Mus musculus: one gene and its partners. The protein of the gene in region 1 binds, or shares a complex with, the protein of each later gene. Links are inferred from orthologs where the notes say so. Each region holds a gene or a part of one and is shown in the gene's direction. Other genes may lie near its edges. The genes, in order: Cab39, Strada and Stk11.

The links.
Region 2: the proteins of Cab39 (region 1) and Strada are in contact, whole or in part, in a crystal structure (PDB 3GNI), measured with the Homo sapiens proteins. The link is inferred for Mus musculus from reciprocal best matches to the Homo sapiens genes CAB39 and STRADA. Residues at the interface, in NP_001124321.1 of Homo sapiens: Leu26, Glu27, Lys28, Gln29, Tyr55, Gly56, Thr57, Asn58, Ala85, Asp86, Gln88, Leu89, Phe92, Glu93, Lys96, Arg107, Glu138, Leu141, Ile145, Ser176, Thr177, Phe178, Asp179, Ser182, Asp183, Glu221, Asn222, Tyr223, Val224, Arg227; in NP_001003787.1 of Homo sapiens: Pro64, Leu104, Glu105, Cys107, Ser108, Asn109, Val112, Gln116, Leu119, His120, Lys123, Leu124, Phe125, Asn126, Thr136, Phe137, Ile138, Asp140, Asn141, Leu143, Tyr185, Met189, His223, Gly224, Arg226, Val426, Asp427, Asp428, Trp429, Glu430.
Region 3: the proteins of Cab39 (region 1) and Stk11 are in contact, whole or in part, in a crystal structure (PDB 2WTK), measured with the Homo sapiens proteins. The link is inferred for Mus musculus from reciprocal best matches to the Homo sapiens genes CAB39 and STK11. Residues at the interface, in NP_001124321.1 of Homo sapiens: Gln109, Gly111, Thr112, Lys196, Leu197, Leu238, Asp239, Arg240, His241, Phe243, Met246, Ile250, Val280, Ala283, Asn284, Pro285, Glu317, Gln318; in NP_000446.1 of Homo sapiens: Gln100, Arg103, Arg104, Glu165, His168, Ser169, Gly171, Leu201, His202, Pro203, Phe204, Ala205, Ala206, Asp207, Asp208, Phe234, Arg301, Ser307, Arg310, Lys311, Lys312.

Annotation. Positions count from the first base shown.
Region 1 is NC_000067.6:85,841,941-85,845,721, forward strand, and holds part of Cab39 (calcium-binding protein 39), read left to right. Parts: intron 1-257; coding exon 258-426; intron 427-2,652; coding exon 2,653-2,712; intron 2,713-3,781. UniProt on the Homo sapiens protein: Component of a complex that binds and activates STK11/LKB1. In the complex, required to stabilize the interaction between CAB39/MO25 (CAB39/MO25alpha or CAB39L/MO25beta) and STK11/LKB1.
Region 2 is NC_000077.6:106,190,710-106,195,173, reverse strand, and holds the start of Strada (STE20-related kinase adapter protein alpha), read left to right. Parts: upstream 1-1,570; 5' UTR 1,571-1,708; intron 1,709-4,464. UniProt on the Homo sapiens protein: Pseudokinase which, in complex with CAB39/MO25 (CAB39/MO25alpha or CAB39L/MO25beta), binds to and activates STK11/LKB1.
Region 3 is NC_000076.6:80,114,461-80,118,781, forward strand, and holds the start of Stk11 (serine/threonine-protein kinase STK11), read left to right. Parts: upstream 1-1,334; 5' UTR 1,335-2,157; coding exon 2,158-2,447; intron 2,448-2,487; exon of another isoform or gene 2,488-3,127; coding exon of another isoform or gene 3,128-3,363; intron 3,364-4,321. UniProt on the Homo sapiens protein: Tumor suppressor serine/threonine-protein kinase that controls the activity of AMP-activated protein kinase (AMPK) family members, thereby playing a role in various processes such as cell metabolism, cell polarity, apoptosis and DNA damage response.

The DNA of each region.
Region 1 (3,781 bases):
GCCTGCCTCTGCCTCCTGAGTGCTGGGATTAAAGGCGTGTGCCACCACTGCCCAGCAGAATTTTCTTGATTGAACGCAGCTGTCTACCTCTGCATGCAGCTGTAAGCTCCAGATCAAATGACCCTGCTGTAACGTGGCTGTAGTCACTTAGGAGTATCTGAAACTTCCATTGAGAAAGTTTGAAATGTTCACTTTTGCTGTCTTGAAAGAGAAATCATGTATGGCTTTTGTTTGTTTTGTTTTGTTTTGTTTTACAGGTATGAATCTCCAGAAATAGCTCTTAATTGTGGGATAATGTTAAGAGAATGCATCAGACATGAACCACTTGCAAAAATCATTTTGTGGTCAGAACAGTTTTATGACTTCTTCAGATATGTTGAAATGTCAACATTTGACATAGCTTCAGATGCATTTGCTACATTCAAGGTAACATTTAAAAACTGAAATTCTAAGCACACTTGCAAGTCAGATTGTTTCCCCATCTTTGTCTCCTCTACTCACACTGCCCTCTAGTGGAAATAGAGATGTGCTTTATACACATTTGTATGCCTCAGGTATTTGTAGTAAAACCACAAAAAAAATTGTAATGTAAAAAAATTAAATTCTCAAATCTTATCAGAAAAGCAAAAGTCCTGTAAGGTCAAAATTGCACTTTCCTGTTCAATTATTCACTAAGTGTGGCATAGATAATATACAGATTGTCCAACAAGCAGGCTTTCTCTTGTGATGAGGCACTCTGTAGTGCCTCCTTTGGCTGGCACTGGATGGGGTAATAGAATTGGCCTCTGCTCAGAGGCCATGGATTTTGGAATATATGTGTTATCAAATACAAGAACCACATTCAGGGTGGACAGCTATAAGTTGTTGAATTCTTGTTTAGTACATGTAGCTCACTCATACTCAGAAGCCATGAACACTAACACAGAATTGTCACTTTCCTTGTAAGAGCTCAGCTTCTTAATAAAGAGCCCCTGAGACAAGGGTGGCTCTGGGTAAAGTTCGTATGTAAGGGTAATGAATACGGTAGGACAGGAGGAAGGCCTGGGGACTGACAGTAAGGTTTCACCCTGACTAAGGCATTAATAGTACCAAGGATTTATTTTCCAAAATTAGTACAGCTTCTGCAGAAGCTTTAAGTAATTTCTCAGATAATGTGTGTACATGTCATGTATGAAGGAAGCAAACTGTAGTTAAGTGTCACCATGATGTCTCAAGCTCACCGCATTTGTGGGGTAAGACTCACGATTAGGATGCATCGATGGAAGGGAGTGCCCCATTCAGGAGCAGCAGCCCAGCATGAAGAGAGGTGTGGTATTGCCTTGTGTGAAAGAGGGCCCTTTGGCTGCACTTACTCAGATTGCCTGCAAGTATGATTCAGCCACAAAATTGAAGTGGCATCACCGTGAACAGATTCTGACATGCTAGTCTCCATCCATCCAGTTTCCGAGTGCCTGACTTGTTTCAAGCACTATTCTAGGGTCTGGGGATTCAGCAGTGGCCTGTACATAGAAGCCCTGTCCTTGTGGTACCTACTCAGGGGACATCAGCCTTTAACAAGCATGGTAGCAGGCTACAAGGTGGACATGCTCTTTGACAAGGAGGCTTAGATGCTTTCTCTGTTGGTAACTCCCTTGGAAGTAATTGTGTTCCTCTTTTGCATTGCAACCATTGATGCTTGAACTTTCCTTTCTGCCTGTGAAGGGGGTTGTAGCACCTGTCACATGCAGAGAGACCTTGTATGTGACATCCGCTGAGCAGCAGATGGTTACTGAAGGGTTCAGTAAAATGACTACTGCATCTCCAGAGAGGCCGAAACTTAATTCCAGCTTTTTTATTTCTCTTGTTTAACTCTCACAGTTAAGAGACTTGGGGGAACTGAGCAAAGTTTCTTGAACACCCTCTTTAATGAGGAAACACAGCACAAGCCCTGTGCAGCAGTGAACAGTGTGAATTCTTGGGGTGGGGTTAGAAGCTTTCTTAGACAGCATACCATGCAGAACATTGAGTATGATGCTTCCCCGAACACATCATCTAATTTTCCTCATCCATTCATTGATGTATTTATTAACACTAAGCCCTTGCTATGTACTAGGAAGAGTTTAGGTGCCAGAAATTCAAAAGTTGTAAATACCAGTGTGGTGTGGTCCTTGTGTTTATGGAACTGACAGTCTAATGAAGGAGAGAACTTACTAAATAATCCCACAAGCACATGTAGAATTACAACCATGACACATCAGGAAAAGTTTTCTGAGGAAGTGATGTTAAGTCAGAGTCTAAGGTCAGGAGTAGATGACTGGACAGACAAAAAGCTTCTGTGAGGGACATTTTTGGGAGGTGAGAGGCAGATCAACTCCCTGCATACCCAGATCTCAGTAATCTCCACAAAGGAGCTCAAGCTGGATTGGTGTCCATGTGTGTGACCTTGGGCCAGGGCCACCTGTAATGAGGCATAAACAGTTCTGACCAAGTGACACCAAGGTCATTTCATGGTCACTTTATGGTCCTGAGAAAAATTATGAAATATTAAGTAGCAACTGTGTGCTAATAGTTAACAACAGTTTATTAGGCAGTTTGGTGGATATTTTAGAATTCTCTTTCCTAAGAAAGCATTAATGGAGAGCAACTCTAAAAATACATGTTTTCTTCTTCTAGGATTTACTTACAAGACATAAATTGCTCAGTGCAGAATTTTTGGAACAACATTATGATAGAGTAAGTATGTGAAATATTTTAAATGATGTTTGTAATTTTTAACAAAAATTAACTTAAATGGAGATTTAAGTTAGATTTTACATCAGGATATTTGACTCTTTAGTATTTGTAAATAGTGCTATGATCACTTTACTGAAACAACATTGAGGACTACTAAGTCTGAAGCAAAATTTGACCTTGATTCATACATTGCCCTTTGCATCTTTTTTTTATTTATTTTAGAAGGGGGAAGTGGTCAGTTTTGCTCCTGAATGATAATCTAGTTAAGATGCAAAGAGAATTTAGTCTGACTTTTATACTTTTTCTTCCTTTTTCATCAGTTGCTGCACACAAGTAGAGAGAAAGAGGCAGCAGCTGATAGGATTTGAGCAGCGCTGGCCTAGTGGGCAGGACCCCAGCACTGCCCCTGCTTCGCTGCTTACTCCTTTGTGGCCATGGCCAAGGCACTCACTGCTTGGGGGCTTAGAAACCCTCCTTATTTGTAAAGTGAGGACATTGGACTAGCCATCGGTAAGGTTGCTTCCAGCTCTGTGTCAGTGTCAGTCAAACCCAGCAATGATGACCTCCAGAGAGCTGTCAGTGATCCCGGGTGCTTGATGACTTACTGCCCGTCAGCCACACAGCCACCCCAGGGCTACAGTGCCTGTGTTCACTCGTATACCTCTCCCTTCCTCTGGAGGGCTTCTCACAGTGCCACAGTAGGCCCCTATACACTACACTGTCCAGGCTCTGATAGGCACGTGTAGAGAACTTAGAATAATAACTTTCCACTTAAACTTCCCGTCCATGCTACAAGACTTGGCTTAATTTTTAATCCTTCCACTAGTAGTTTAAATCTTTGAAGTTTTAAATATTGTTGTATTTCATCATTTGCTTTCCTATCCCACTCCATTATAAGGTTCTGGAGGCAGAACCTGTGTTTCCTCCTCTCCTCGTATGTCCTTCTTGTTCCCCCTCTCCCAGCAGCAGCACAGCATGTGGCTAAGAAAGCAGCCTCATCAGTGGCTTAAACATTGACAGCACTTTATTTCCGCCATGAGTGTTTGGATGTGGGTGTTTCCTGTGTGTG
Region 2 (4,464 bases), on another chromosome or scaffold:
CAGCAGAAAGATGCATTTGCTGCTCTTGGAAAGGATCAAGCACCGGCAACTATCTGTCACCCCATCCAGTTCCTCCGCCTGCTTCTGCGCGCACATACACACACACACAAGTACATTCAAGTACAAGTACACACACAACATATGAAAAAATAAAAACCGAAGCTTGACACCTTTTCAGGTATTGCTTTCCCTAATATTCTGGATTCCAAAGACCATGTGAACTGGCAGAAACTGCATTTTCCTCCAGTCCCCTTGCTTTTTGTGAGTTCGTGATGTTTGTTTGATGATGAAATGTGGTGAGACTGAGAACAAATTTGGCATGTTAAACGCACTAGGCAAGGTTACAGCTGTGTGTAAAACATTGAGATCTTCAGGTGAGGGTAGTGTGCGTTTCCAAGTTCCTGTATGATGTGGCCAAACTTAAAATTCTTGGAAGTTAGTCGACTGGTATAAATCTGAGACAGGAAAAAAAACAAGTATTCATTACTTGACAGTATGTACACAGATGTATTGGGCCCTCACTCCACAGTAACTGAAGTGACTAAAAATCACTTCATGATAAAACGGAGTCCTCATTTTATTAGTCCTATATGGTTTGGCCCCTGCTGTCTTTTTTCATAAAGGCAAACTCATCACAGGTTTCTGCTAATAGAGGACATACCACCAAGTCTTTAATCCCATCCCAGCAGAGGCAGAGGGAAGCTGATCTGAAGGCCAGTCCAGACTACATGCGACACTATCTCAAAAATACCTCACTACCAAAAAATAGTTATGAAGCACTTAGGGACAAAAAAAAAAAAAAAAAAAACCCCAACAAAAAACAAACCATAGCTCTCGTTTAGTTGAGCTATTTTCTGTGCTTTAAGGAGAAGGAACTTTGGGCACAAAGGGTAAGTTTCCTCTTTGTTGTTCTATTGCCTGAGACTGACCCAAGAAAGACTTGTTTTTCAATTGGAGTCCTACCAGGTGAAATGGCACCTGGGATTTGGGAACCGCAGAGTGTGGGATGAGGGGTGGGAATACCCCTGGTAGCCAAGTCAATAGCTATAGTTAGCCCTTGCCCCTTTTCTTGCTGCTGGGTTAGGAGGGGTACAGAGACTCGAGGGAGACTCTAGGGTCCTTTGGAACTGCAACAATGACAAGGTCTTTCGCTTCCACATACGTGGGGAAACCTGCCTTCGTCCTAGATAAGGAACGACCTCAGCAAAGGGGAAAAAAGACTAGTTAATAACTCTCTCCCTGACGAAGCGACTGCGGGTCTAGCATGTCCGGTAACGGTAACGTGGGATGGAAGCAGAAGCTCTCTCTGGGGAAAAGCGGAGCTTCCTCCACTGGGATGGGTGGGGTGAAGCGAGGCGAGACGAAGCAGAGTCCTTAGTGGGCAGGGGGTAAGGCGGAGCATCTTCTGAGAACCGGGCAAGGCAGGACTTCCTCTGCTGGAGGCAAGAGGCGGAGCTCCCTTCTTGGGTGGGGCAAAGCAGGGCTTCTCCGTAGGGGAGGGGCGGGACTTCCTCCGTGGGGCGGGAGTAGGAGGGGCTTGTTCCGTGAAGGGGAGGGGCGAGGCTCGGCCAGTCTCCCTGGGTCCCTCCACTGCGCATGTCACGTTGCGTACCTCCCTCCCAGCAACCGGCCTGGCGGCAGCGCGGCTACAAAACTGAGGAGGCGGAGCCGAGACGGAGTCGGTACTGCGCTCTGACTCCTAGACCAGGTACCCGGTGGCGGAGCCGCCTGGTGCGCTCCCAGGGATAATCCCTCTTGCCAGACTCCGAGTCCGTGTCCTCGGGGGTGAGCCTCAAGTGGCCATCCCGGCTCACCCTCGCCCTCCTCTGGCCCTCATTTAACCTGGGTTCTGGGTTCCCGCATTGAGGTTACAGCCTGAGAGCAAAATTAGGCTTGGGCCTGGCTGGGGAGATGCTGAGCAGAGTTGCCGGACCGGAGAGGCTAGCTACCGCATGGCCTCCCCACCTTTTCCGGGGCTTCCAAATGGGGTTGAGTTCTCATACGGAAGCAAGATCAGAGCTATTCTCTGCTTTGGTCAAAACGAAGAGTTTCTAAATGTGTTGTCTTAAGTGTCCCAGCAGTTTTGGGGACCGAGTATGGTGGCGGAGAGTGAGCATGACAGAAGGGGAGTGGCTAAATAAAATTGTTCATAATTTTAGGAAATAGATAACTTCTCAACTCAGTCTTCTGCTAAGACCCTAAGGTACTTCAATTTGACCCCTTTCTCCCAGACGGTTGGACTCGGTCTTACTGAAATACCCGTTGAAGTAGAACTATGTTCCAGTGTTTGGATGGGTCTTCATGATAGTTGATAACCTTATCCGGAGGTACCCAACACCTGAGACTGACTCAGATCCTTGAGGGTTGATTAACCAAATTTGAGACTGTGGGCGTGGCTCAGCGCCTGAGTTCTTGATTAACATCAGTGCGGACTTGCTTTCCATTCTCCACACTACCAAAAAGAAAATTGCTAACTTGCTTCTGCCGTAGTGCAGGAACTTAATAGTTTAACCATTAGTTATAGTACGGAAACTGGTCAACTCTCTTCACCCTTTAATTAGGTTTCTTAGAAGATTTTTTGGCTGGGTTTATAGTTGTGACCTCCGACATAAAGTTTGGAGGACCAGCGGTAAAAATAGAAGAAAAAAAAGTCTGTCAGAACAAGTGAATTCTCCTATCGGTACCTGTTGTAGTGGGAGAGATAATGAGGCGATAGTATGGTTGGGTGGTTGGAGAGGTGTCTCTGTAGATAGGAAGATATGCTGCCGTCTCCAGAACTCATGTAGAGAGCCATGTGTGGCCATGAGCCTGTGACAAGAGAAACACCAGAGCTTGCTGGCTGTCAGCCTGTGTCCAGAGTGATAGAGTAGAATACACAATGTCCTTTAGCTTCACCAAGCATAGAAACAGGTACACACATAAATATATACATACATACACACACAAGCACATACATATATATACACATATATACATACATATACACACATTGGTAAGTGTAATAGTTAATGTGAGAGCCAGGCATGATGGTATATGCCTTTAATCCCAGCACTCGGGAGGCAGAGGCAGGCGGATCTCTGTGAGTTCGAGGCCAGCCTCATCTACAGAGTGAGTTCCTGGACAGCCAAGGCTACACAGAGAAACCTTGCCTTGAGGGGAAAAAGCTAAGGTGAGGAATGTAGGTGGTTAGTGGGAGCGCTGCTGTAATAGAGGGTACTGAGTGTCAACAATAGACTGGGGACAAAAAGGGAAGTGGAGTCTATAGACTACACTCTGTCTCTTCTTTTTTTCAAAAGAGACTGTAGCCAAGTGTGATGTTGAATTCCTGATCCTCCTGTCTCTGTCTACTGAGGGCTGAGAATCCACACATGAGCTATCATTCTCAGCTGTGGATTTCTGCCACTTTTACAGCCTTAGCTGGTGATCTTTAAATCCACCAAGCCATCTCTAACCTCCTTTTAAACATCAAGTACTACTTTTCTCACAAATTGCTATCCCTGCTTCTTGGAAGATAGAATCCTCAACATTAGTCAACCTTCATTAAACTTGAACTTGGCAGAGATCAACAGAGGAAGACATCTGATGTGCACCCCTCCTGCAAGCCTTCAGTATACACTTTTTTTGTTGTTGTTCCTTGACAGGGTTTCTCTGTATAGCCCTGGCTGTCCTGGAACTCACTTTGTAGACCAGGCTGGCCTCGAACTCAGAAATCCACCTGCCTCTGCCTCCGGAGTGCTGGGATGAAAGGCATGCACCACCACGCCCAGCCACTATACACTCTTATACATTAAATGAATAAATATTTTAATCTACCCCTCCACTAAAGCCACTTCTACCTCCAAACTTTTCCTTTTCTGGCATTGGCTCCGTGGCATATTAATCATTTTCCGAACACTCAAAAACACAAACACACATCAGCTGTAGAATGGGCTCTCAGATAAGGTATTAAGTCTCTGCAGTTTTCAGTCAGGGACTACACAACCACATATCTAGGAGAGTTTGTAAAAGATAGTCCCCAGCCATACTTGGTGGTGCAGGCCTGTAATCCTAGCAATGAGGAGCATGGAGGCAGAATCAAGTTCAAGATCACTGTCAGCTACGTAGTGGCTTTGTGTGTAGGAGACCCTGTCTTAAAGCAAAGAGTTCCAAGGGTAAAGAATGAACTAGATAGCCTGGGCTGGGCTGGGCTGTACATGCTTCATAGTTCATTCTTTTTTTTTTTTTTTTAATATTTTAAAGATATAATTATTTATTATTTCATAGTTCATTCTTAGCCACTTATCTGTTCCTGGTGTTCCTACTGCCACAGACTCCAGGAAAGGGGTTTTCTAAACAGCTTGCTTTTCTCTAGGCTATTTTTACCCCTCCCTGTCTCCATTCCTTCCTAGATTGACATTTCTTGGACTGTTCTTCCAAACAAGGTTTCTCAAATATTAGTTAATAGCACAGTCCACATGGCAACGG
Region 3 (4,321 bases), on another chromosome or scaffold:
TCACCCCTGACCTGTCCCTCCATCCAGCCTGACTCTGTTTGTCTAGTCTGTGTTTTCCCTGGATTTCTGTCTTCACGTCTGTTTCTCTGATCTTTTTTCTTAATTTATGTGCTTGCATAAGTCAGTTCTCTCCTCCTTTTAAGTCCTGAAGGCTGAACACATGTAGAGCAAGCACTTTTCCCACCTTTCCTGGAGTCTAGGTCTCTCCCTCCCCCAGGACTCTCCTGGCAGTACACCCCGCCCCCTAGTGGCCTCGGAGGGAACCATAGACTCACGGATCTATGGACCTTGTAACCGGCCTGTGCGTAAACTTGTGTGTAGAGGGAGTCAGGCAGGGTGAGCACTCGTCCCTCAATCATACTCCAACCCTTATTTTTTATTCGTGCAGTTAAAAAAGGGCACAGATAAAAATAATTAGATTAACCACCCAAAAACACTGCAGCAGGTGAGTTGAGGCCAGCGGCGACGTCTTACCCAGCCACCTTTTTTGATAACTGTTATTTAAAATTCTGTGTTGTGTGTGTGCGCGCGCGCGCCTACCACGGAGTCCCTAGGTTCAGAGACAGCCTGAGGGAGGCATTTCACTCTAGCCACCTTGTGAACTTACGGGGATCGAACTCATGAAGTCAGATTTGACGTCAATCGCCCGCAACCTCTGAGCCATCTCACCAGCCCAGCTGCTCTTATTTTGCACAGGAAACGCTCCTCTCTATGCCATGGATCTCAGAGGCGCTACATTAAGGCTTCAGGTTCGGGAGTGTCGACTTTGGGCTACTTTTTGACCTTTGACCCCTCCCCCAAGGCCGTTAAGAGCAAGCCTGGGCTGGATCTCTTTAGGGATCCACGAGCCTCTCTCTCCACCCTCCCCCATGCCTCCAGTCGCGGCCGTTCCCCGGAGGACGTTGACGCGCGTGAACTCTAACCGGAGGCCCGAAACTCCGAGGTCACCACAGCCAGCCCAGAGGTTTCGCTGGCCCGTCGCGCTTGCTGACGGGCGTCTGCGACAGCCACTGGCAAATAAAGTCCCGCCCCCACACACCAGGGCCAACCACTGAGGGGCGGGGCTTGAAGCCACAGCCCACGGCCGCTCCCTTACAGTCGCTTGCTTACTCCCATTGACGGGCGTCTCAGACAACCAATGAGAATTTAGATCACGCCTTCTCAGATGGAACCCGAACTGTCCAATGTCAGCTCGGGCGCCCACCTAGATCCAAATAGCCCAATCCTCGTTGGCGATTGAGGCGGGTCCGAAAGGTGGGGCCTAAAGCTACAGCCAACTGCCGCGCACGTCGGCTCCGCGAGGGGGCGTGTCCACCGTTGCGACGTGCGACGACGGCGCGGCGCAGGGCGGTAAACAAGATGGCGGCGGCGTGTCGGTCTAGGAAAGGGGAGGCGGCTCACGGCGTCCGCGAGTGAGGCGCGAGTCGCCGAGGGCGGCGCCGGCGTGGAGTTGTCTCTCGCGGGCAGCATCTTTCTGCCTGGAGTTCGATTCCCCCCTCGCCGCTCCGGCCTCCTGCCTGTCGCGCGGCGGCTAGGCGGCGAGGGGGACGCGCCGCCTGGGGTGGTTTTTTTCCCCCCTCGGTCCCCGGAAGATTTCCTGTCCGGATTTCGTGTCCGCGACTTGCGGGTGTCCCGGTGTCCCGCGTCCGGGTGGAGTCTGCGCCCCGAGAAGTCGTAGAACTAAGGGGCCGCGCGCGGCTTCGGCGCGGGCCGGACATGGACGGCGCGGACCGGCCTCGACGCGGCCGCCTGGGCCCCTGAGCGCGGGGCCCAAGTGGCGAACATGACCTAGCGGCCCGCGCGCCGCGACGGCGGACCGTCGCCTCCGTCGGAAGCAGCGTCCCCGGGGACCCGAATTGGGGGGACGCGAGGGTTGGGGGGGCTCATTGCTTTTTTTTTTTTCATTCTTATTTTCATTTTTTTTCTCCCTGAGCACCTAGAAGAAAAGGGGAAAATCAAAAGTGAAGAATTGGCGCCCAGGAAGCGGACGTGGACCCGGTTGTGGGGACCGGGAGAGTTGTGGAGGTCGTTCCTGTTTTTCCCCGTTCCTTTTTTCCCCTTCTTGGAACATTTGGAAGAAGCGGGTGGGGGGGGGGGAATTCGAACTTGAAAAGAATTGGCGCTCCCGAAGGGGACGAGGACAAAGAGTGGGCCAGGATGGACGTGGCGGACCCCGAGCCGTTGGGCCTTTTCTCCGAGGGCGAGCTGATGTCGGTGGGCATGGACACCTTCATCCACCGCATCGACTCCACCGAGGTAATCTACCAGCCGCGCCGCAAACGCGCCAAGCTCATCGGCAAGTACCTGATGGGGGACCTGCTCGGGGAGGGCTCGTACGGCAAGGTGAAGGAGGTGCTGGACTCCGAGACCTTATGCCGCAGGGCGGTCAAGATCCTCAAGAAGAAAAAGCTGCGCAGGATCCCCAATGGAGAGGCCAACGTCAAGAAGTAGGTGCCAAGGGCCTGGGGCCGACGCGGGCGCTGCCTTGAGCTCCTTGGGCAGCCCTTCCTCCTACTTTCTGGCTCTTCTCTTTCCTCTAACCGTTTTCTCTTCTCATTTCCTTCCTCCTTTTTCATCTCTTTCCTTTTACTGCCTTATCTACCCCATCTATCCCTGAGCGTCACCTCGTGGGGTCTGTATGTTAGGGCAGCCTGCAGGACTGTCCTAGCAGGAGGTCGTGCAGCCAACTGCGCCTCCAGCCCCCCTCTTTGGGCCAGGTCCTGGCGCAAGTCGCGCCTGGCTTCTTTGGCGGGCGTTGCCAGGCGGGTGGCTAGTTTGTTTACGCAGCTAGAGGGAACCGGTGGGGCCAAAAATAATGGTGAAGGGGGTGGGGGGGGTAGCCGGCCAGTGCTTGCGCAGGTCCCTGCGGTGTCGTGCGCGTAGTTGGCGTCGTTGGCCCGTGGGGACTCTTTATCGCCTGCTAGGCTTGGCGGAACTTGGAAAACTTCACCTACCGGCTTCCAAGAAGGGGCCTTATCTTTGGGACCAGCACTGGCCACACTCTGCCTAACTGACCTTGCCTCTGGTCCTGTCCCAGGAAAGGCTGGCAGCTTCTTGTTTTTGCCAGCTGGGCACTGCTTTGAGTGGTACGTACAGGAAAGGAAGGTGGACAGATATCCAGGATCAGATGTGTGGACCCAGGGGTGGAGCAGGGCAGGCTGGTGGCCTAGGCTCCTCTCAGGACCTCCTTGGCCTTTTTTGTAGGAGTGGTCTTAGGTCAGTCTTGCACTGGGGAACCTGGGCACCCAGCATCAGGTGTTCCTTCAGAGGCCTGAGCTTGGAAATTCCTGGCTTGAAATCATTGTCTCAAGGTGGAGGTGCCAGAGGTTGCTCACCTCCAGGTGGTGTCTGCTGGTCTCCAAGGCAAGTGGCTTCCTTTGGCTTCAGGGTAATGGTTCTTGGAAGCCCACCATGTCTGGGAGGCTGCCCAGGCCTGCATCCTGGCTTGGGTCAGCTGCAGTCCTTGTAACACATGGCAAGCCTGTGTGCTCTCTCTGCCTGTGACAGAGGGCCCCAGAGCTCTGTCTGCGACTTCCTAGCCCTCACCTGCTGCTTTAGGCTTCCTGCCATCTCAACACCCAGGTTGGGGTGTGGCTTGCAGAGCCAGGCAGGTTCAGCTGAGAGAGATTGGTCCCTAGATCCTGAAGTAAACCCCCCCCCCCATGAATTAGTGATGCTGGACACAGTCAACACTGGAGGTCATCAGGACTGGGGAGCTCCTACACACTAGGGTGATATAAGGAGCCTGCACGGTTCCTCAAGACAGGAGTTGGTCTGGGCAAGTAGACACATGCCTCTCATTGCAGTGCTGGAGAGACTGAGGAAGGAGGATTGCTTCTGTTTCTAGACCAGCTAGGAGTGCATGGGAAAACCTGGTTTTATAAGGGAAACTGGTTGGTAGGGTGAAGGCCCCAGGACCCACAAGGTGAAAGCAGACTCAGTTCTCACAAGTTTGCTCTGACTTCCATGTGTATGCTGTGGCACATGTATATACACACACAAGATAAAAACCAGGAGGAGAAACTGAGGCAAAAGCTGCAGACTGACACACTGCCCTGCAGTAAGGTGCTTGACTGGCAGGATACAAAGCCAGGTATCTCCATGGGAGTGCTGGTGTTCCCCACTTCCTGAGTGGCTCCTGCAGGGCAAAGCCTAGGGCTGCTGCACCTGCTTGTGTGATCCCCACTCAGCCACAGCCTGGAAGGGGCAGCTTGGCGGGCAACAGCTGGTGCGGGCAGAAAGGCTCCTTTGTCTGCAGGGGCTTAATAGACTGCACTCCTGTTGTCTCTCTCACGGTGAAGTGTCTGGAACCTTCCAGGCA